Linked DNA regions of Pelodiscus sinensis. The protein of the gene in region 1 purifies or fractionates together with the protein of each later gene. This does not show direct contact. Links are inferred from orthologs where the notes say so. Each region holds a gene or a part of one and is shown on either strand. Other genes may lie near its edges. The genes, in order: ZZZ3, MBIP and KAT14.

Region 1 (8,068 bases):
ACAATAGAGAATGCTCTCATATATTACATCTTCCCCAGAGAGGGAACTCCTGCCACTAGTGGATGGGGCTTCTTTCCAAACCTAGCCTACAGAAAAAAGGACCACAGCTCAGCACCTTCAATGTTAGCCATGTGAAAAGGGCAATCCTCTGCCCTGTCCTTGAAGATGCATCATCTTGGAATTGAATGGATAATGACCCCTTTAAGCAAACCCTGTCAAGATGGGGAGGCAAGGACTTACCCAGCAGTAAGTGGTGTGATGCTAGGAATTGCTCTCCTTAGAGCCCAGTGACTATCAGTTCTGACCCTCTTCCTTGCTCAATGATCAAATTTGCTCTCCCTTAAACCCCTTTTTTACCTGACCCCAGAACAAAAACAAAATGTTTTCAGTTTTAAAAACGGATATCTTGTTTGGGGAGATGGTTTGGGCAGTCATCATGACCTCTTATTTGCACCATAAATTCTGTGCTGGGGTCTTGAATTGACATACTAATTTTCACAATGCTAACTGGATTTCAGATGTTTGGAAATTTGGCATTAAGTGGTAACCCTGTTGCATCCTATCTATTGAGTTGCTTCTACTCCAACATAATAATCCCCACATTTGTTAATTTCTATATTGTGTTTCTGCAATATAATCAACCTGGGATTAACCAGGAATGCCAAGTAGAAGCTTCTGGTTGTAAAGTGGACAGCTTTCATGGAGAGGTGGTGTGATACTAGTAAAGTACCATACTTATTTGCATTCTTTAGAACATAAAAATGACCATACTGGATCAGACCAAAGGTCCATCTAGCCCAGTATCCTGTCTGTGGCCAATGCCAGATGCCCCAGAGGAAGTGAATGCAACAGGACATCACATTGCCTCTCTCCTGTCATCCATTTCCAGACAAACAGAGGCTAAGGACACCATTCCTACCCATCCTGGCTAATAGATATTGATGGCCCTAACCTTGATGAATCTATCTAGCTCTTTTTTGAACTCTGCTAAAGTCCTGGTCTGCACAGCATTCTCTGGCAAGGAGTTCCACAGTTTGACTGTGTGCTGAGTGAAGAAAAACTTCCTTCTGTTTGTTTTAAACCTTCTACTTATTAATCTAATTTGGTGACCCCTAATTCTTATATTATGGAAATTAGTAAATAAATGTTACTTATTCACTTTTTCCATACTTGTCATGATTTGATATACCTCTATTTTATCCCTTCTTAGTCTCCTCTTTTCTAAACTGAAAAGTCCAAGTCTTTTTAATCCCTCTTCATATGGGACCCGTGACAAACTCCTAATGATTTTTGTTGCTGTTCTCTGAACCTTTTCCAATGCCAATATATCTCATTTGAGATGAGGCACCACATCTGTATGCAGTATTCAAGATGTGGGCGTACCATGGTTTTATATAGAAGCAATAAGATATTCTCTGTCTTATTTTATATTCCTTTTTAAATGATTCCTAACATTTTCTTTTTTGACTGCCACTGCACACTGAGTGGATGTTTTCAGAGAACTACCCACAATGACTCCAAGATCTCTCTCTTGAGTAGTTGTAGCTAAATCTGTCCCCATCATGTTGTATGTATAGTTGGGATTATTTTTTCCAACGTGTATTACTTTACATTTATCAACATTAAATTTCATTTGCCATTTCGTTACCTAATCACAGTCTGCTTTGGACTTAACTATCTTGAGCAGTTTGGTATCATCTGCAAATTTTGTCACTTCGCTATTTACCCCTTTCTCCAGATCATTTATAAATAAGTTGAATAGGATTGGTCCCAGAACCGATGCTTAGGGGCCACCACTAGTCATCTCTCACTATTCTGAAAACTTCACATTTATTCTTACCCTTTGTTTCTTGTCTTTTAAGCAGTTATCAATCCATGAAAGCACATTCCCTCTTATCCCATGACAACTTACTTTACTTAAAAGCCTTTGGTGAGGGACCTTGTGAAAGGCTTTCTGGAAATCTTAGTATATTATATCCACTGGATCCCCCTTATCCACATTTGTTGACCCCCCCCCCTCAAAGAACTCTACAGACTAAATGTAGTGTTCTGCTAACATTTTATAAAGTAATTAATTGCAACTATAGAAGAGATCAATAAAAGTTACATCAGACCTGCCTGAAGACAGCACCTTAGATGCAAAACACACAGAACAGGTACAGCTCCCATTGGAGATTTTTCACTGACTTCCGTCAGATAGGAGCTGATTGAAAATAACTTGGAGAAAAGGTTGGGAATATCAGTTTGGATACCATATGAAGGGACAGGATGCAGAACTATTGTTCTTTGTGAGTAGTGATGAAGTTAACCTTCTTGTTCTGGAAAAGGTCACAGATAAAGATGATATTGTTATGCGGGAAAGATGTTTAGTGGCTCCCATCAAGTGGGTCTTTCAGCTACAATCACAAATTAGTTTTAATCTAAGCACCCGTTTTTCAGGCTCCATGAAAGGAGCAATGAAGCTATTTTATGTAGTGACATAGTTGCAAAAAATAGCTACCACACTGCCCAAAGCAATGGGCCATATGGCAAATGCTTGTGCAGAAGCTAACCTCTGTGGAATGATGTGTTCTCTGATACTATAGCAAATGCAGAAGCTAGGGGAGCAAGCTAAGTACAGATGGAGAAGAAAGCCAGCAGATAGGGACAGAAGTGGCCCTGAGAAGTAGCAGACACACAAAACTCCTAGAGCAGAGAAGAGACTGGACAGGCAGGCTTGCGGATTGCTGAGCAAGGAAACTCCCTTACTCTTTTCTACTACTACAACCCTGGGAAACAGGACGCTTTGTACATCCTCGGGAAGCCAACAGGGGTGGGCCAAAATATACCTGGCCCATCAATTTCTCTCTCTAACGGACACAAACCTGCAAGACCCCAAAAGTTGGTCACGTGCTTATGACAAAGGGTCAACACAGTGTAGAAGCCCAGGAGCCAGAGCTGCCTGCCTGGGGAACGGCTGGCACCGCGTCCTCGGGCTGGGGCGGGCAGGGCCGTGGGCCTGCAGGCGCTGGAGGGGGGCGGGTGAAGAGAGCGGGGAACGCACCCGTTCTGGCCCGACCCTCGCACCTCTTGCTTCCACCATCTCCACCTCGCATGGCCCAAGTCAGGCCCGGCCCGGGGCCCGCCTCCGTGGGCAGAGCCGGCCGGCCTGCCCCCCCGGCAGGGAATATCCGCTGGGGGAGACGAGCCGCCGAGTCCCGCCTCGCGCCCCAGCTGCGCCGGGGGCATGTACCGGCCCTCACCCCACGAGCGTAGGCTGCGACGGGCCGCCTCCCCCAGCGACCAGCAGGCGGAGCTGCAGGGAGCTGGTCCCCGCTGCAGCGGGGGGAGGGGAAGGAAGCGGAAGGAGCCGCCGCCGCCGCGCTGAGGGGGGAGCAGGCGCTGTGCGGAGCGAAGCCGCCGCCGCTGCCTGGTGCGCGGCGCAGAGGGAACGAGCAGGGGAAGCGGCGCCTCTGCCGGCAGGCTCCGTGCGCGCGAGATAGCGGGAGCCAGGTGAGGTCTAGGCACAAGAGAAAGGGGGGACCCGGATGATGCCGAGTTCGGCGCCCGCAGGAGGGGGGGGAGAGGAGGGGGAAATTCCCACGTGACCAGCGCGCCCCGTTCGAATCCCAACAGCTTGGGGCCGGATCGGCAAGGCAACTCTTGCGCCTGCGCATCGGCTCCACCTCCCTCCCTCCTGTCGCGTGCGTGGACATGTGCGTGCGTGCGTGCGTGTGCGCGCGCGCCGCGGGTGCAAGGTGGTTGCTGCGGGGTCGGGACACGTGCGCGGCGCCACCGCCATGTTGATTCCCAGCGCAGCTGTGGTGGGGGAGGGGCCCGCATGAGACGAGGAGGGAAAGGGGAGTGAGGGAGTTCTCGCGAGGCTGTGCATTTCCCGTGGGAGATGGCCGGCAGCAGGATGGCGGCGCGGCGCTGGGCTTGCTGGGTAATGGTAACTGGGGTTCGGGGGGCGGGGACCCTGGGACCAGCCTCCTCCTACCCGACTTGATTCCGAGCTCACGGGGGCGGGCTGGGCGCCCCAGGCGGTCGGACCAGCGCCCGCTGGGCCTGTGTGGCAACCGTTGTGGCTCCGCATATGTGCTCACCTGCTCTCCCTGTGCTGCCCCCCGTATCCCTGTGGCTTATTGGCTGTTCTCCTCCCCGCCCCCAGCATCTCCTGCTGCCTGCCCCACCGCCTTGCCCCGATAACTTTCTCAGACAGCCCTGCCTGCCCCAGCACCTCTCATTGTGCTCGGACAAACCAGACCTGCTGGGCTCTTACCATGCCCTCCTGCCCTGTAGCAACTCGGGCCATTCCCTGAGCAGTGCCCTACGCACCCCAAACACCTCTTTTGTCTCTACAAAGTGCCTACGTGCTCTGGTCGCTGCTGGAAATCAGAACCTGCAGTAATGCTCTTCCCCTGTGTCGACCTGGCTCCCAGCACTGCTTTGTTCTTTCAGGTGGTGACCCCACTTTGTCCTTCATTCCTGGATTCATGCGCTCCTTGCATGTTTCCACTGTGATGCCTCTGAGGGCACCCCCTCTACTTCTAGTTTATAGGTTGTGTGTCATTATCATGATTGTGATGGGTGAGGGAGAAAAGTCTCAATAAACTGGACAGAGGTCCTAGTTACTGCAGAAATGACCTCCCCTCTAACTATACTGCTGTGGATGGCTGTACCTGAAACACACTTTCCCTCATATTTGAAAAGTGCCTTTCACGTTGTGACTACTATTGGATAGTAAAGAAAATAATAGTCTGTAGTCCCAAGCATTCCAAATCTACAGTAGTCCCTATTGCTTTAATATAAACAGGGTTTTGCATGTGGTCCTACTCTTGTCCTGTTTCATCCCTGTTATGTTTCATCTCTGGTTACCCATTACTCCCTTGACAGTTCTTCTTTGCTAGAATTGCGACATGCCTTGTTATAGTTCTGAATGTCCACATAACTCCTGGCATTTCTGCACATGTAACACTTATTTAAGCCAGGATTTATGGAGCATATCAGTTATTGAGAAACTTATGTTAGCTGGTAGAATTCTGGTTTATTATTTAGTTCCAGTTAGATATTCAGTTGGCAAGCTTTTGATAGCACACTTTTTTTGTTTGTGTTTTTTCTAGTAGTGTTAGTTTAATCTTGTTTATTATTCACTTTTCCAAGTTTTTGCTTCTGATGTGTTTAAGCTCTTGAAGTGGGAAAAAAATAGTTTTACATATTTTATTATGTAGAAAAGTATATGCTAAGATGTTTGCTATTTTCACAAAGTACAAGATAGAGAGCATGGAGACCAAGGTCATCTTGGTTCTGCTGCAGATATCTGAGGAAATCCTGGCCCCCATCAAATGAATGTCAAAACTCCATTTGATTTCAGTGGGAGTCCAGATTCTGTCTTGTCAGTATGACTTGGAGCAAGTTGGATCCTGCTACACATGAAGGCTTTTCATTTTGTTGCTTCCAAGATTTATAAAATAAGTAGTTTTGAAAGGAAATATTTTTGGGCCCAATCTTGGGCTGTATCTTGCAACCCTTGCACAATACATTCTTTCATTCTATTGAATGGTGCAACTATGTTTGGGGTAAGTAGTAGCAGACTAGGACTCAGATAGGAATATATTTTTTTAATATGATCCTTCAGTGTGTTTCTATTTCAAGTGGGTGTAGTAGTAATTTAGTACAGTACTGTAATTGTCACCATTCTGAGTTCTCTTTTGCTGTAATTAAAAATGAAGTTAATTATTTTGCCTCGGTAATGTATAAAATGTATATTTCTTTAAGTATTATAATTATTTCAAATAGTGTAATTATTAAGGACTAATTAAGCTTAAATAGATTTTCTGATATTAAACATTTGCAAAATCTGAAAAATTTACCAGACACTTATCTAGAACACCAAATGTACTACAGAGTTAAGTATGGAAGAAGGATCTTTATCATTGATGCCTAAGGACAAAGCTCTATTGAGAGATCTAGTCTGTCCATTCCACCTGCTGGACAATGGGAAGATGCTTTGATTTCTGTCAGAGTTCCTTCCCCGTCTGCCCAGAGTATCTATTTTGTATGAGCATCTGGTTAGTAAGAATTTGAAGACTTTGCGTGCTCCTCCCGCCCCCGGGCTCTGATTGGCCTGGGGGCAGGGGAGTGTGTGATGTCTTCTCCTGCCCTGCAAGGGGCATGTGGCGCTTAGAGTGAAAGTGCCATGTGCTCCTTGCAGGGCTCGGGTAGGGAGTGCATGAGGTTTCCTCCAACCTGTCAAGGGCGCGCAGCACTTTAAATTGCAGGGTGGGGACAGGGAGCGAGAGACTTGGATCCCTCCTCCTGCCTCTGGGCCCTGATTGGCCTGGAGGTGAGGGGAGCTGGTGAAGTCTTCTCCTGCCCTGTAACCGGACAGGTGCCTAGAGCAGGGGTGGCCAACCCACTAAACAAAGAGAGCTTAAACAGCGGTGGAAAAAATGAGAAGAGCTGCACCAGAATTGTTGAGCAAAAAACAAACCAAAAAAAGATGCTGCCCCTTTAAAAAACACAGGCTTAGGCTTTTTGGCAGCATCAGGCTCCTGCCAGCCGAAGCCATCTTGCAGATGCCATTTTGAATCGCCGCTGGACAGCTCCCCTGCCTCCGTGAGCACAGGAAGCCAGGGGCCATTTGGAGGGGCTACGTGAGCCGCAAGGGAGGCTTTACGCGCCACACTTTTGGGAGGGAAGAGCCGCATGCAGCTTGCGAGCCATGGGTTGGCCACCCTTGGCCTAGAAGAAACTGCCAGCTCTTCAGAACAGCTGGCAGTTTTCTCTAGGGGCTCAGATGGGGGCAAAAACTGCACGTGCTCCCTCGCCTTCAGGCCAGTCAGGGTATGTGGGAGGGGGAGCATGGAGGTATCCTGGCCCCGCCTCTTCTGGGGCAGCCCAGTACCACTTCAAAAATTAGTGAAGTGGCCCCCCCATCTAAAATTATTGCCCACCTCCTGCTCTACACAGTACTCACAACGCTGAGTAGAAGTCTCTGTTCTTTCCACAGCCTCCATTTTTGTGGCATTTAATTGGTTTACTTTTTATTCAAATCTAGAATGTTGTCCTTATGATTATAAGGGCCATAATTTGTTTTAAAGACTTATGTTCTGTAGAATAATGCTATAGGTCCTCCGATTTGTTAGGGAAAGCTTACTCATCTGAGATGAGTAGTTTTTTAAAGTTGGCAGCATTTGCTTTAGCACCAATCTTGCATTATGCTTATGAGAACTTGCTTATAAATAATGTTTTATAGGAAGTTTTATATAGCTATAACTTTTAAGAACACGATAGCCATGGCTTCTCTTTTCAAATGTCGCTTTCACAGTAGAGCAGACTTAATAAAAGAGAACTTTTAATATCATATAGATATAGGTACAAATAAAAAATATCCAGCATTCTATGACATGCAGGCCCCAGCAGCCCATATATACTAGCTATTTTGTACAAACTATATTTTATTTGCATAAAAACATTTATATCCTGTTTAAGAAAGTTTTAAAAATTAATTTTGAAATATATTTATTAAAAATAGGATTAAACTTGACATAAGAAGGTTTTTCTTTCTACTGTATAATATACTTTCTAGACTAATATGATTTTAAACAAATCTATACAGTTAAGAACTCAATAGTTCTTCTACATCATTTCTTTCCATAATCACTCTAATCTCTGTTTAGTGCAACTTTATTCAAGCTCTTTCTGGTACCAAAGTCAAAACTGTTTTTAAGTGTATTGCCATATGTTTGATGGGCAGTTGAGGACAAATTGTCATGTTTGTACGTGCTCCTGGATTGTGGGTGAAGTTTGAAGTATAGCAGAATATAACTTAAGTTGCATATTTTGGCATCTGTAATCAAAATAAAGATGAGGACAACACGTGGCCTGGTGACAAAAACTATGCTTCAGTCTATTACTGTCTAATCATAATTAGATTGTTAGGATTGTTTGCATTTGATCAGTGAAAGTAGTTGACCTATTCTATACTTAATTGTTTTGGCTTAATGCTGTGTTGTTATATTGATTTGTTACAGTTTGTGGCAAATTAGTTATTAATAAAGGAACAAAATAATAGAAAATTACATGA
Region 2 (8,068 bases), on another chromosome or scaffold:
GCCACTTCTTGAACCACTGAAAGCACTCCATGAGCCTCAAAAACTCACCCAAGGCATAGAATCATTATCATAGCATGACACACACCTGCCGTGTCTTATTGCTTAATTACAACCCACCATAGATAGGAATGTATTGAATTTACAATGCAAGTCTAGAAATCAATGGGGCTGGATTTGTTCAGTCTTCTTACCCATAGTGGCCTGGTAGGCTATTCCTGTTCTGACAAATCTGGAAGAGAGCAGGTTTGAGTACCTATGAAGTGTAGTGGAATCCCAAATGTACAATATATTTGCATCCTTCTCAAGTTAATACTTCAATGCTAAATCAAAACAATTGAAATTATGCATTTTATATAATCTAGCTACATTTAAATGCTAATCTCTTGGGCAAGTTTAAAGTGTCCAATAAAATATTTACCTGCAAATATAAAATATGTTGCTGAAGTGCACTAAAAAGCAATGTAGGCTGGAGTGTTGAAGTACTTTGAAGCTTGCTCCAATCGATTACAATTTTCACATCATCTCCAAGGTTAAGCTTCAAAAGGGCAAACAAGCATCATCACAAAAATTACACCATTATTCTGTATTACAGAATGTCACAGAAGTATACAGGACTTCTATAGCTCAGTAAAAATTCTCAGCCTGTTGACCACATTTTTATATTAGAGCAGAAGAATGGTTCAAAAATGTTAGTTTTGCATTGAAACATCAGTTGTAACTGTCATTCCCCAAATAAATTACTGGGTATACTTGCATGAAGTCTGATTTTTTTTTTTAAAATACTCAGTTAACCAGTGCCATTTTTATTGCATTAATATAGCCTCAACCTCTGTTAATGGTAGCTGATAGACTGACTAAACAGTTAACTGTTATTCTAAAATATTTTTGTCTCTTCTTATTTGCTTTTATTTTAGCTGCCTAGACAGCATAGCTAACGAGAAGCCCAAGCCACCACTATGCTTGTTTCATAGAGATTACTGCTTTGCAAACAGTGGAATATTAAAAAGGTAAAATGGGTTTAATTACCAGTATATAAAAATAAACTATGGCCTTGATTCTGAAACACACTGAGTAACTTTTAGTCTAAAAACAATCTAAAGTTACATTTTCTTTTGCAAGAAGTCTCCATAAATAATCTTTACTAAACCGTACGTTAAGCAAAATGTAGTCTATGTAGCAGAACTTTATCCACTCCATTAAACCTATTTAAAAATCAAAGCTTAAACTTTCTATGCAATTGAACCATTGCAAAACCAAATTACATACCATGAGATTATACTCCTTGGCGAAAAAATGATGCATAATTTACAAATATGCAGGTATTGAAGTTAGCTTTTACAAACTGTGTTGATCATGCAGCCTATTAAACCTCTAAATAATATGCATGTTTGTAAAAATAATTTTACAGTACACTTTAATAAACACTAATGAAATAAATGCATACTCTTCATTTCAACCTCTATTTTTATTTCAGTGAAACTTGTTCTCTCAGGCATGATCCTAAGAAATAGGAAGCACTTGGTAACTCTCACCAAAACTAAAGAGGTTGTTTTCCAATCAAATAAGGCATTAGAGATTCTCCAAAAGTGAATGAAGAGCTCTGTACTCTGGCATAATTCTTATTTAAATTAACAGAGGTTGTATGACATAGCCACACTCAGAATCAGGTCCAAAATTCCTAATTCATTGACATACTTGTAAGACTAGGTCAATATGATGCTCGCAAATGGTGCAAGCTCCCAGTTTAAAAAAAGAAAACTAGACCACAGGTAGATAGATAATTGTGTTTACATGCCAAAAGCCAGAATACCTTTAACATATACCCTCCACAAAGTGTGGGTCTCCTAATGGCATCAAATATGGGCAAGAAAACAGAATATATATATTTAGTTCTTGAGGGGGTTTTTTTTTTTAAAGGGCTGATAATTGAAGATTGAAATGAGCAAAAATACATCGAATTCAGAGCATACATAGCGAGAATCAAATGTGAATAAAGTAAACAGAGTGCAAGCAATACATTGGGAGACAAAGAAGTTAAATATTAAACTACTTTGCATACTTGCTGTAAAAACAAGAACCACAGTAAGTAGTATACTTAAAATATGACCCTGATCCTTCCGCTTTAAGTAGGGAACATTCCTATTCCTGTTCTACTTGAGTAAATGTGTGACCCTAAGCCAATATGAAGGACAGAAAGAAGGGGACTCACCAATTACTATAGAAGCAGAAAAACTAGTGAAATAATAAGTCTGTATTTTTCTTCTTAGTCAGCATCAAAATTCTAAAAACTAACAGTCACAACAAGTTCAAGCTTTCCATTTCTTGTTTCAGTTAGATGTAATATATCAAGTATTATTAGTTAGAATAAAATACTTCTGTTTTAAATGTTTTTTTGGTATTTAATCTGTGTGTATTACATCAGGAAAATTCGTGTTTTCGGAAACATGCTCATTCCGAACATTTTATTTACATAGTTTCACTTTCTTGGGTACATTTTATTTAGTTCATGAGATTGTTTATCTGTATCTATGGTGCCACCCGGGTGTACATGCATACCCAGTTTGTGCTACATGTTTCCATTAAAAATATACAGTACACATTATTTTTTATATTGTTAAGTACAGTTTCTATTACCCATGGGAGAATTTATACCATGTATTATAGATTAAAATGCATACTCTTCAATCTTCCCTTAGCAATCCATCTTTTCAAATAGTCACAGATACAGTCATATGCTTTACTTGATTTTTGAGGGCTCCTATTTAGGTAGCTCAAAGTGTGGAAACCTTGCCAGATTTCTGAATGGGAATAACTTTAGGATAAACAGTTAAAAATGTAAGTGAAAAGGTTGGGGGGTTATTTGTAGTCATGCTTTAGTCACGAGTAAAGGATAACCCCTATCACCATATAATGTACACTTTTTGTATGTATTAATTTGCTGTTCAGTACAAATTAATCTGTCACATAAATGTATCTGCTTGCCTTCAAAGCACTTGTAAGGACTGTGATAAACAGAATGTAATTTTGTAGTTTCTGCACCTACTATACTCTCACTGGCTGACAGTCTATTTTGTGGTAACTTAAAGTCACGCCATCACAAAAGATAACCCTACGGCTCGAAACAATAACAGACTAGCAATTTTTAGATAAGATGTCCCTGTTGTGGAGGAAAACCACTGTAATTAAATTCTACTAAATCAGAATGTGGACCTTGATACACGTGTGCCACTAGGCCCAGAATTTAAAAGCTAAATTTCAGGTAACCGTGAAGTACTGAATAAGGGACAGAGCTTAACCATTAAAAAAAAAAAAAAAACTACACATTAACTGCAAGGATTTAAACTGTTACATAGGACGTATCATCGCTAGCATCATATACCTACTTTTCTTTAAGTATATAAGGAGCTGGTATATATATATTAATTATACATACATACATACACGTGGTTCTGTAGTGCTGATAAGCACAAAGAACAACACTCTTTTAGAGTAACATGCATATAGCAGTAGTTACAGAATGTAAGTTTTTTCTTCATCCACTCAATTGCTGTGATGAGCGATGACTTGTGGAAAATGTTGTCCACAATAAAAGGAATACTATTATGTAATGATAGTGTGATACACCTAATACTTAGCACTTTACTGCCTCTTAGCACTGTATGAACATTAACCAATCCATACAGTGTTTCTTCTAGAGAGACAGAGTGCAGTTATCCATCTTAAAGATAGGAAAAATAAAAAGGCTAATGCCCGAGTTTTCAATCCCTTTATTTTGGGTATTTCAATATTGAGTGCTTAGATAGCTATGATGCAATTGCTATGCACCTCTGATAATTGTAGCACCCACTTGAAATGGCAATAAAGACAAGACTTGTTTTTGCCAATATCAAAAAATGTCACTGTTTAGTGGTAGACTGAAGAATAGTTGGGGAAAGTAGATATCTAGATTAAGAAAATATTTCAAGTTGTATACATTTCTTTGTCACTCACTGATCAGATGCAGCTTCACACACTGGGCTCCACACACTTGTGCATGGTTTAATTTGAGGGAAAAAACTTGATTTTAATGGGCTCATGAGCTGTCAGATTGGGATTTTCAGGATTGTAAACCATTTAGGACAAGGACTGTGTCTGGGTTTAGACCCTGATCTTCATAAGGACCTCTGAGTACTATGCTAATATCACTACTAAATGACAGTGGACTCTCCTCAGCTCTAAAAATAGGCCTTTACTTTTTAAAATCTTTAAAAAACCCTGAAACTGAAGCCAATTTTAAAAATCTGGCCCAGCAAAATTTTCTTATATTCCACAGCAGCAAAGTCATGGGCTGTCCCGAGCCAAAAATTTCAGTAGCTCTAACTTTAGGTGCCTTTTTTTTTCAAAGTTATAATAGACTATGAAACTTATAATGGTTTGTGGACACCACTCATAATCAGTAACCTCTTTTGTGTGATACAATCTCCACACTTTGTCACAGGAAAAATATTTCCTTTGTAAGTGAGTTCACAGGTAACAGTCACCTTTTTAAAGCCATAGTTAAAAGCAACACATTTGCTTTGCTATTAGGGTGTGTCTAGACTACCTAGTTTTGTCGACAAAAGTGGACTTTTGTTGACAAAACTATACCAGCATCTACACTACCGCTGAGTTCTATCGACATAACGTCGACAGAACTCAGCAGTTTTGTCGACGCTGGTATACCTCATTTTACGAGGCATAACACCTTCTGTCGACAGAACTCTGTCGACAGAAGGTGTTATTGCCTGTAACATTGCGTCCAGACTATGGAGTTCTGTCGACAAAGCAGCTTGCTTTGTCAACAGAACTCAATGTGTCTGGACGCTCTTTGTCTACAGAAGTTTTATCGACAGTATCTGTCGACAAAACTTCCGTCGACAAAACGCGGTAGTCTAGACGTACCCTTAGTATGAAATGGCAATACGAGTGTGCATGCCATCCATCACTCATGCAGCAGCAAGACATTTGAGCTTTGAAAAACTTACAAATAGTCTAGTAGCATCTTAAAATTTAACAAAACATGTAGATGGTATCATGATCTTTTGTGGGAACAACACTTCTTCAGATGACAGAAGTGAGCTATGCCCACAAAAGCTCATGATACCATCTACATGCTTTGTTAGTCTTTAACTTGCTACTTGACTATTTTTTTTTTTTAAGTTTTTTCTGTTACAGACTAACTTGGCTAACCCTCCGAAGCATTTGATCTTTGGTAACTGCAGGTACCAAACATGATGAAAACAATCCCAGATGAAAAGATCTCTCCCAAATAAGGGAGCTTTTGCTGGATTATGAATTTCAAATCGATTTCTAACCAAACAAATCCAAATTTCCTAGTCCCCGCCCTTGCTGCCTTCAGCTACTTCTTTCATCCCCTCTCCCTGGACAGCCGCTGGTCCCCCAAAAGGAGTCTCTCTCCCCACCGCCACGCCCCTACCTATAACTCTGCTGCTCCCGCCCCCAAACAGGGCCCACCTCCTGTGCCCCCACCAGCAGAGCTTCGCACTCCCCCCGCCAATGCGGAGCTACTGCTACTGCCACCTGCCCCGGGCAGGGACTTCCCGCCCTCACTGACCTGCCCCGCCAGCCTGGGCAGGGAGCGCAGGACGCCGCTCAGCACTTCCCTGGCGGCGGGGGCGGCGAGAGTCTCTGTCGTGTGGGCCTCGGGCTGGCGCGGGCTGGGCTCCCCCACGGCGGCCATGACACCCGGCCAGGCCGCTGGCTGCGGGGACCATGCCTCCGCCTCCCGCCGCCGTCGCTCTGGGATGACGAGCAGCCCAGCCTCGGAGGAGGCCTCAGCGCGGCGGAGAGCCGGGTCTGTCCCCGCCCACAGGACTGACTGACGTGAAGAGCGGCCAATCCTCGGCCCCGCTCTTGGGCCAGCTCTGCAGCGACGGGCAGCGGGCCTGGGCTGCGCTGCGCTGCGGGGAAGAGAACGGTGCGCTGGCAAAGCCCGTCCCGCCTGGGGGCCGCGCCGGGCCTGAAGCTGCGAGTGCGTGGCCTGGCTCCTAAATGTGACTGCCCTGGAGTGCGGGGGCGGGACCCTCGGGGCTTCAAACCCCTGGGACAGGCCCTCCGAGACTGGCTGTAAAGTTGTGAGCTTTCAGCGCCAGCCCGCGGGGTTCTTTGCTTCCCGAGTGGAAGGACTGCAGGGGCGCACTGCCAGGCTCCTCTCTGCAGCCATGCAGACTGGAAACGTACCTGGTTTTAGGTGAAAGATGAGCTCCCCAGTAATAACCTCGGGGCTTTAGAGAAACACCGAAGTACATAGTCCTGGTTTTTGTTTCAGCTACACCAGACTAACACGGCTCCATTTCTATCCCCGAAGTACTGAGAGACTTGTGACAAAATAGACAATGTTGCTTTGGGATCTTTTGGGTTCCACGTTTGCGGGTGCAGTAGGCATGGCTGAATTGGCTCTCTACTTTGACAGTGCAATTTGGGGTTGGTAAATCTAGCTTGACTTTTTAGTTTGGATCAGCTGCCTGGTCTTAGAATCATAGAACCATAGAGCTGGAAGAGACCTCAGAAGGTCATCAAGTCCAGCCCCCTGCTCTAGGTAGGACCAATCCCAACTAAATCAACCCGGCCAGGGCTTTGTCAAGCTGAGACTTAAACACCTCTATGGATGGAGACTCCACTACTTCCCTAGGTAAAATCTATCTCAACCACATTTCTTTCCTGTATAGACCAATGTCACACCTTGCTTCCTTCACCTGCTTCTTTCATAGCAGTTTCAGAGATACAATACTTTGGATTCACCTTCATTATTTTGAGAGCATGGTGGGGAGTGGTGGCTTGTCACAGGCCAGCTGTAGAGTAGGGATGTTAAAGACTAGTCGACTATCTGATAAGCATTTGATATTCCACACCCTTGCTTCCTCTACAGGCATTTGATATCTCTTCCCCCCCCTCCCCCCTTGCTGCCTCTATAGAGGCGGGGGGGGGGGGGCGGAGAGAGGGGGGATGGGTACTTCAAAGTGGCAGCTGCTTTGAAACCCCAAGGTGGTGTGGCAGAGGGGCAGTCGCTGCACAGCTGATCTGTCAGCTCTGCATTTCAAAGGGGTAGCCATGGAGCTCAGGATCAGCTGAGGACTTCCCAGCTGACCCCAGGTTTTGCACAGCACTTCCCCAGAACTTAGTGGCATGCAGCATAGCATGGAGCCCGGGCTCTGTGGGGGATTGAGTCCCCTACTGACCCAGGGCTCCATGGCTTTGAAATACACAAGAGTCCCTGATGGACTCTTGTGCATTTCAAAGCAGGCACTCCCTGTGCAACCCAGAGTCAGCGGGACTTCTCACCGGCCCAGGCTGTAGCAAAGTTCTGCATTCCTTCTTTGAAATGTACAAGATCCCCAGCCGGTACTAGAAATTCCATTGACTAGTCAACTACCGTATTTTCCGGCGTATAAGACGACTTTTTATGCTAAAAAACATCCCCCAAAAATCGGGGGTCGTCTTATACGCCGGGTATACAGGCAGTCCCCGACTTGCAGGTACGAACAGGGCTTTTCTCGCCCCGGAGGACACAGACTGCGGGACCTCGCGGTCCCGCCGCCCGTGTACTCAGGCGAGAAAAGCTGTTCCACGTCTCCCTGGTCTGCAGACCAGGAAGACGCGGAGCAAAGCTGCGGAGGGGCTCCGGCAGCGGGGCCTGGGCTGCCCCGCTGCCCAAGCCTCTCCGCGGCTTTGCAAAGCCTCGGGGGAAGCCGGCAGTGGGGCAGCCCAGACGCGCCGCGGCTGTCCCACTGCCGGCGTCCTCAGAGGCTTTGCTCCCGGTGTCCCTGGTCTGCTGGAGACGGTCCCCAGCAGACCAGAGGCACCGGGAGCAAAGCCGGAGAGGCAGAGGGGCGCTGGGGTGCTGCCGGTTGGTCTCTTAAGGGGGGTAGTCTTATATGGCGAGTATAAGACGAAAACCTATCTTTTAACTAGAAAATTAGGGGGTTGTCTTATACGCCTAGTCGCCTTATACACCGGAAAATACGGTAGTCATTTAACCACATTTTAACATCCTTAGTGCAGAGGTTAGTTTCGTGTACTGTTGAGTTTC
Region 3 (8,068 bases), on another chromosome or scaffold:
GCCTAGGTTGCCCATTGCTAGTCTAGTCACTTTCACTGATCGCTGTAGTGAGCACTTTCCCATGTCTGGGTATTTCAAACAGCAACAGAAGACAGAAAAAAATTGCTTTTAAACATAAAAAAGTTATCATCAACCCACAGACAATGGCAAAAAGATTCAGGATCAAGGGGGTATGTCTACACTACAAAGTTAATTCGAACTAACAGACGTTAGTTCGAATTAACTTTGATAGGCGCTACACAGGCAAACCGCTAGTTTGAACTTAATTCGAACTAGCGGAGCGCTTAATTCTATGAGGACTAACGCCTAGTTCGAATTAAATAGTTCGAATTAAGGGCTGTGTAGCCACTTAATTCGAACTAGTGGGAGGCTAGCCCTCCCCAGCTTTCCCTGGTGGACACTCTGGGCACCACCAAGGAAACTCTTCTGCCCCCCTCCCGGCCCCGGAGCCCTTAAAGGGGCAAGGGCTGGCTACGGTGCCCGTGCCAGGTGCAAGCCTGCCAGCACCCAGTCAGCAGACCCTGCACCTGGCAGGGCACGAACCAGCCACCTGCTGCCACCCAGCCCTCCGCCTCTTCCCGGGACCAGGCTGGCGGCTCCGGGGAGTCTGCCCAGGTCTGCAAGAGGCGGGCGCCCGCCTGGCCTAGTGCAGACATCGTGGACCTTGTCCACAACCTCTGCACTAGGCACAGGAAAGTGGCCGTCTAGGGCAGGGTAACTTCCAGCCTGGCCACCCAGGAGCAGGTTTGCATGAAAATCAAGGTGGTCCACTGAGACCCCCCGACCCTGAGCTTAGAACGGCCGTACCGGGTCAGACCAAAGGTCCATCTAGCCCAGTAACCTGTCTGCCGACAGCGGCCAACACCAGCTATCCTGGAGGGGATGAACCGAAGACAATGACCAAGCCATTTGTCTCGTGCCATCCATCTCCAGCCTTCCACAAACAGAGGCCAGGGACACCATTTCTGCCCCCTGGCTAATACCACTCCATGGACCCAACCTCCATGAATTTATCTAACTTCTCTTTAAACTCTGTTCTAGTTCTAGCCTTCACAGCCTCCTGCAGCAAGGAGTTTCACAGGTTGACTCTTTGCTTTGTGAAGAAGAACTTTCTGTTATTAGTTTGAAGCCTGCTACCCATTCATTTCATTTGGTGTCCTCTAGTCCTTATATTATGGGAACTAATGAAGAACTTTTCTTTATGCACCCTCTCCACACCACTCATGCTTTTATAGACCTCTATCATATCCCCCCTCAGTCTCCTCTTTTCTATGCTGAAAAGTCCCAGTCTCTTTAGCCTCTCTTCATATGGGACCTGTTCCAAACCCCTGATCATTTTAGTTGCCCTCCCCTCTCCCACCCTCTCTCTTCCCCTCTCCCACCTCCTTTTCCCAATCTCCCTGAGTTTTGTTCAATAAAGAGAGTTTCTATTTTTGAACACACGTGTCCTTTATTTTGTACATCAGGAAGAGGGGCTAGGGAGGGGTAAGTGGAAGGAGGTGAGGGAGGAATGGGGTACGAGCCCCCGATGGGGAGGACTCTGCGGGCTCCTCGGCGTGGAAGCTCTTCTGAAGCCCCTTGATTGACCCCCCCCCCTCTGGATGGCAGCCTGCGGCAAGTGCAGCCGGGCTGATGGCCAAGTGCTGTGATGTGCCGAGTGTGGGCACTCATGGCACTCCAAGCCAGGACCGCTTTGCAAGCGGGGAACCCTTGAGAACTGTCTGTCCGGGGTGGGGGTCGGGTCCCTTTAAGCACAGCCCTCAGCTAGCCTGAGACAGCAGCTCCACGCTCTAAGTCCTAATCTGATGCCCTGCCGGCACTGCTTCCGGTCAGCCTTAACCTCGGTTCAGGGTCCACTCAGTGTGGACATGCTAGTTCGAATTAGCAAAACGCTAATTCTAACTAGTTTTTAAGTCTAGATGCGCTAATTCGAATTAGCTTAGTTCAAATTAACTAATTCGAACTAAGTTAGTTCGAATTAGTGCTGTAGTGTAGACATACCCAGGTGTAGTACCTAATCAGACTAGACTTCAAGTTGACTGTGTCCCTTTAACTTCTTCCTACTGAAATTCTGGCTCCAGTAAAGCCAAATGAAAAAATTCTGGATGACTTCACTGGAAAAAAGATTTCACACTACAGCTTTTGGCAAACTGATCAGCTGAACTGACAAGTATTGACCAAGCTAGAAGAGATCAGTATTTCCTGCCATAAAATGAGCAGTGCTCAGCTAGATCTTGGTACTGAGAAAGGAAAAACTACGGTACTAGGATATGAAGAATGCTAAAAGAGTTTATGTAATGTTAAATGGAGTCACTGGAAAAATAACTTCAGTGTTTGTAACAGAGCTACTGCTACAGGTTAAAACTCTCTTAACCAGGATTCTCTGGTCCAGCAACATCCATGGTCCAGCATGGATGTTGCAGGTAGGTATGTAATCAACTAGTTGACTATCCAATAAGCATATGCTTAGCGGCAGCAAGGGCAGGGGGATGGGAGCAGGAGCCGATGCTGGGAGGAGCTGGCTTAAAAGCCGGTTCCTCCCCAGCACTATCTCCATGGCAGGAGGGGCGGGGGGAGGGGAGAGATGACGACGACGACACGATGACAGCGGGGAACTGGCAGCACTTCCGCCTTTGGAATGTAGCAAGAGCAGGGCTCTTGATGCACTTCAAAAGCAGAAGCACCACGGGGCCAGCGGGGGACTCAAGCAGTCTCTGGCTGGCCCTGTGCTCCCTGCTCTGGAAATGTACAAGAGCCCAGGGGGTTCTATTAAATTCCTGCAAATTCCATCGACTATTCAATTTGTTGATTAATCTAAATTTGACATCCCTAGTTGCAGGACCTGAGAGTCCTGGTGGAGGGCCAGCACTAAGGATCCCTGTGGGGCAAGCAGGGCAGTGGGCTGCCTGCAGGTAGCTGATGGGGGGGGGGCTGCCCAAAGCGTGGTAGTGGGGCTGCCCAACAGAGTTGGGAGACCCGGCAGGTGACTGCCCAGTGGGGCTGGGAGCCCGGCGCACACATGGCTGCTCAATCACACAACACGCAGGGCTGCTCACGGAGCCCTGGTGTGGCGCACGTGGCTGCCCGGACCCCAGCCCAGCGCTAGGTGGCCCGGTGGAGCCCCAGCAGCAATGGTTGCCCAGCAAGTTGGCAGGGCAGCGGGGCCAGCAGAAGGTGGGGAGCTAGGAGGCTAGCGGCCAGGCCAGGGGGCCAGTGGCAGGGGTCCAAAATTGACCTCCTTAGGTCTGGCAAAATCTCTCATCTGGGACCGGTCAGGTCCCAAAGGTGCTGGACCAGGGAAGTCCAACCTGAACTGGCTTTATATTGTTCTGTGAATACTAATCTTAAATTCAGGATACCATGGAACCATTCTTATATACAGAAGACTGAAATCTATTTACACAGCCCACTGAAATGGCAAACCAATCAGGAAAATAATAATAGTTCTTATGTAGCACCTTTCCTTACAAAGGAACTGGCATTATCCCTGTTTTACAGATTGGGAAACGTAGGGTATGTCTACACTACAGCGCTAATTCGAACTAACTTAGTTTGAATTAGTTAATTCAGACTAAAAAACTAGTTTGAATTAGCGTTTTGCTAATTCGAACTAGCATGTCCACATTAAGTGGACCCTGAACCGGGGTTAAGGATGGCCGGAAGCAGTGCCGGCAGGGCATCAGATGAGGACTTAGAGCGTGGAGCTGCTGCCTCAGGCTAGCCAAGGGCTGTGCTTAAAGGGACCCGACCCCCACCCCGGACAGACAGTTCTCAGGGGTACCCCGCTTGCAAAGCAGTCCTGTCTTGGAGTGCCCTGAGTGCCCACACCGGGCACATCACAGCACTCGGCCATCAGACCGGCTGCACTTGCCGCAGGCTGCCATCTGAGGAGAGGGGGCAATTGGGGGCCTGCAGGAGAGCTTCCACCCACAGAAGCCCACAGAGCCAGCCCAGTCCTCCCCATTGGGGGCTCGTACCCCATTCCTCCCTCACCTCCTTCCACTTACCCTTCCCTAGCCCCCCTTCCTGATGTACAAAATAAAGAAAACGTGTGGTCAAAAATAGAATCTCTCTTTATTGAACAAAACTCGGGGAGATTGGGAAAAGGAGGTGGGAGAGGGGAAGAGAGAGGGTGGGAGAGGGGAGGGCAACTACAATGATGAGAGGTTTGGAAGAGGTCCCATATGAAGAGAGGCTAAAGAGACTGGGACTTTTCAGCTTAGAAAAGAGGAGACTGAGGGGGGGATAGGATAGAGGTCTATAAAAGCATGAGTGGGGTGGAGAGGGTGCATCAAGAAAAGTTCTTCATTAGTTCCCATAATAGAAGGACTAGAGGACACCAAAGGAAAGGAATGGGTAGCAGGCTTCAAACTAGTAACAGAAAGTTGTTCTTCACAAAGCAAAGAGTCAACCTGTGGAACTCCTTGCTGCAGGAGGCTGTGAAGGCTAGAACTAGAACAGAGTTTAAAGAGAAGTGAGATCAAGTCATGGAGGTTGGGTCGATGGAGTGGTATTAGCCAAGGGGTAGGAGTGGTGTCCCTGCCCAAAGTTTGTGGAAGGCTGGAGATGGATGGCACGAGACAAATGGCTTGGTCACTGTCTTCGGTCCATCCCCTCCAGGGTCCCTAGGGTTGGCCGCTGTCGGCAGACAGGCTACTGGGCTAGATGGACCTTTGGTCTGACCCAGGACGGCCATTGTAAGCTCAGGACTCAGGGTCGGGGGGTCTCAGTGGACCACCTTGATTTTCATGCACACCTGCTCCTGGGTGGCCAGGCTGGCAGCTCTCCTGCCCTAGACGGCCACTTTCCTGTGCCTAGTGCGGAGGTCGTGGACGAGTTCCACGATATCCGCACTAGACCAGGCGGGTGCCCGCCTCTTGCGGTCCCGGGCAAGCTCCCGGGAGCCGCCAGCCTGGTCCCGGGAAGAGGCGGAGGGCTGGGGGGCATCGGGTGGCTGGCTCGAGCCGTGCCAGGTGCAGGGTCTGCTAGCTGGGTGCTGGCAGGCTTGTACCTGGCACGGGCACCGTAGCCAGCCCGTGCCCCTTTAAGGGGTCCGGGGCCGGGAGGGGGGCAGACAAGTTTCCCTGGTGGTGCCCAGAGTGGCCACCAGGGAAAGCTGGGGAGGGCTAGCCTCCCACTAGTTTGAATTAAGGGGCTACACACCCCTTAATTCGAACTAGTAAGTTCGAACTAGGCTTAGTCCTCGTAGAATGAGGTTTACCTAGTTCGAACTAAGCGCTCCGCTAGTTCGAATTAAGTTCGAACTAGCGGAGCGCTAGTGTAGCGCCTATCAAAGTTAATTCGAACTAACGTCCGTTAGTTCGAATTAACTTTGTAGTGTAGACATACCCTGAGAGATTGAAAGGGGAACTGACAGACACAGGCACAGCAGACCAGTGGCAGAGCTGGGAATATAATCTAGGTCTCCTGATCCCTAGTCTGGTGCTCTATCTACTACACATCACTGCCTCCCATACGTTCAGGAAAATAATATGATTTTTTTTCTCTGAGGAAAAGAACAAATAAACCCACAAAACGCAAGAGATGGAGATAACAGAGGAAATCTTGACTCTTACTTGCTGGTATCCACTTCTGACACTTTTCACAGTAATAGGACATCTCCTCCATCCAGGATGCATCCCCCTCATCACTGTTCAAGGAGTCCCCACTCTGATCGTGGGATAAATCCACTGAAGCCTGATCCTCAGACTCAACAATCAGGAGAGTCTCTCCTTCCACCTCACCCTCCTCCAGCCCTTCTGAAGTTGATGTCCTTGTAGCTTCGTCATCGTGCCGACTCATCAGTCCACTCATGTGAACGTTATTATCCATCCCTTCTTGGCAAGCAGAGGAAGGGATTTTTTTACATTACATGGGGCTCTCCCTCCAGCATTTAAAATACCACCCATATAAGGTGAGCCAGCCAGGTATGAAGCCTTCTACACTATATTTCTGCTCACATGAAAATATTCAAGTTAGAGAATAATTCTGCGTACACACTTCTTAATGTATATAATTTCCTAGACTTGATGACTAGGTAGCTAAAGGTGATGGAAGTAGCTTCCGTTTCCTGAAACACCTAGGAACACTCAAACACAAATCCCTGCTGTCCTTCAGTCCCAACTCTAAAACTTCATGTTTAAGTCTAGGATTGTTGGGACTCTTTTTCCATTAACATCTTGTGTCTCTCTGCTTCAAGTTGCTTGGTCAGAGTAATCTGTTCTTGTAAAAGGCGAATATTTTCCAGTTTACGGCTTTGTCTCTCAAGGTCTCTGACAACTCCTTCGTGCAGCCTCTGAAAATACAAGAGACATGGTTCATTATAGTCGATTGCATGGAACTAACACCCCTTTGCATTCCAACCTCTGTCACAGCACTGCCAAATATATAACTGTTACAAACTTTCAATTCTCTGTTCAAGACACAAGCTACTTTTCGAGTTTAAAATGACTAGAACGGAGCTCTGATAGGTGGATGTTGATAACTACTGGTAACATGCTAGGAAAACTATATTTGTTGGTTCAGCTACATAATCTTCCTATAATGATAAAGTGTTAGACAACTGTAAATATTGTATATTGATCATTTCTACAGTATTACGGAGAGACAGCAATATATCTGTCGAAGATTATGACTTCTCCCCCATCCTTATCAGAATTCAACTAATCTGCCTGAAATATCTCAACTTGTGATCCTCTGCTTGAGCAGAATTAACAGACATTAACATAGACAACATGGAGACTACATTAAAAAAATGAATTAAATGTAAAAGGATTATAACTGAAAGAGAAAAAGTTTTTCCACTTGGTTTATTTTGTGCACTTGACAGCATTTTGTTCTTAATACCTTGAATCCATGCAGAGATCCAAGAATTCAGTGGAGATTCCAATGCATAGGGATCCACTAACGCAGAACTCACTGTGCTTTATATATAGTTAATTTAGCTGTTTCTTCTGTATAGGCAGACCTTGTTCCTGAAACTGGATCCCCACAAGTAGGTCCAACTACTGAATCTGGGCTTTTGTCAATTTCCCTTTTTGTTTATGGGTATTTCGTGTGGGTAATTTGTACAAACAATAGAGGAAAGAAAGGCATATTGAAAACAAGAAAATACATCTGCAAAACTGCAAACATTGATAAAGGAACTATGGGGTAGGAGTGATACTTGAAACTGCTTCTAATTCCTTTGAGATTGACTAGATTTCAAGATGAAGGTGGCACCTTTAACAGAAGATATTAAAATATGACATTTGATTAGGGAAACACATGAAATAGTTGCATAGAAACCAATACTAGAAGAAGCACAGGGTTCTGTCCACATGGATCCAACTGCAGGACCAGGCCCATATTTTGTTACTACCTATGGTCTTGATCCTTTCAAAACTTATAGGTCTGCCTAAATAACTAATTGATATGTGTAAAGCATAAATCTTTGCATGATCAGGATTCATATGTATTCATAGGCACTACAACTGCTGACTGGATGAATGCTGGAAAAAATAATTTATGAATAAATTAATAGCCAAAAAGGTAAATACTTTATTTGATTAATCTGATATTATATAGGCAGGCTTAATAGATCTGAAAATGCATTTGCAAATCATTCATTTTAAAAATTGACCTCAAAAAATAAAATAAACTTTCTAATAGGAAGAGGCATCGCTTCTCACCCAGAAACCAAGTACGTACGCATTTTGAGGGAAATAATGTGTCCCATCTGAATCATGAAGAAAAAATATTTTGTGCAAGAAATATTTTAATCTTGTTTTCAAAAATTATGGAGGCAGACAAAATACATTTCACCCAAAAATGTCAAAATCTCTCTGGAAATTAATTTTATGGGAACAGTTCTTTCCTATCAGTTTCAGTCAATTTAATTCCGATTATAAAATTACTACTGTCCTGATAAACTATTACTTTAGTAGTATAATGAAATGTACTACCATACTATATATACAGAAAAAATGTAGAGATTTTTATGAATGCAGGTTTCAAGCATGTCTCTTGATCCAATAAAATACACTCTTATAACCTACCAGGCTATGCTTTCATTCACTTTAGAGCTATA

What was found.
Region 2: the proteins of ZZZ3 (region 1) and MBIP purify together in Homo sapiens (affinity purification with mass spectrometry; 4 studies listed by BioGRID and IntAct, counting the BioPlex papers as one, with this or other methods). This does not show direct contact. The link is inferred for Pelodiscus sinensis from reciprocal best matches to the Homo sapiens genes ZZZ3 and MBIP.
Region 3: the proteins of ZZZ3 (region 1) and KAT14 purify together in Homo sapiens (affinity purification with mass spectrometry; 4 studies listed by BioGRID and IntAct, with this or other methods). This does not show direct contact. The link is inferred for Pelodiscus sinensis from reciprocal best matches to the Homo sapiens genes ZZZ3 and KAT14.

What each region holds. Positions count from the first base shown.
Region 1 is NC_134719.1:25,183,569-25,191,636, reverse strand, and holds the start of ZZZ3 (ZZ-type zinc finger-containing protein 3), read left to right. Parts: upstream 1-3,315; 5' UTR 3,316-3,492; intron 3,493-3,565; exon of another isoform or gene 3,566-3,931; intron 3,932-8,068.
Region 2 is NC_134714.1:47,308,076-47,316,143, reverse strand, and holds the start of MBIP (MAP3K12-binding inhibitory protein 1), read right to left. Parts: upstream 5,856-8,068; 5' UTR 5,720-5,855; coding exon 5,594-5,719; intron 536-5,593; coding exon 419-535; intron 1-418. UniProt on the Homo sapiens protein: Inhibits the MAP3K12 activity to induce the activation of the JNK/SAPK pathway. Component of the ATAC complex, a complex with histone acetyltransferase activity on histones H3 and H4.
Region 3 is NC_134713.1:193,863,976-193,872,043, reverse strand, and holds the start of KAT14 (cysteine-rich protein 2-binding protein), read right to left. Parts: upstream 5,833-8,068; coding exon 5,577-5,832; intron 1-5,576. Other genes in the region: protein PET117 homolog, mitochondrial, read right to left, coding at 6,146-6,295. UniProt on the Homo sapiens protein: Component of the ATAC complex, a complex with histone acetyltransferase activity on histones H3 and H4. May function as a scaffold for the ATAC complex to promote ATAC complex stability. Has also weak histone acetyltransferase activity toward histone H4.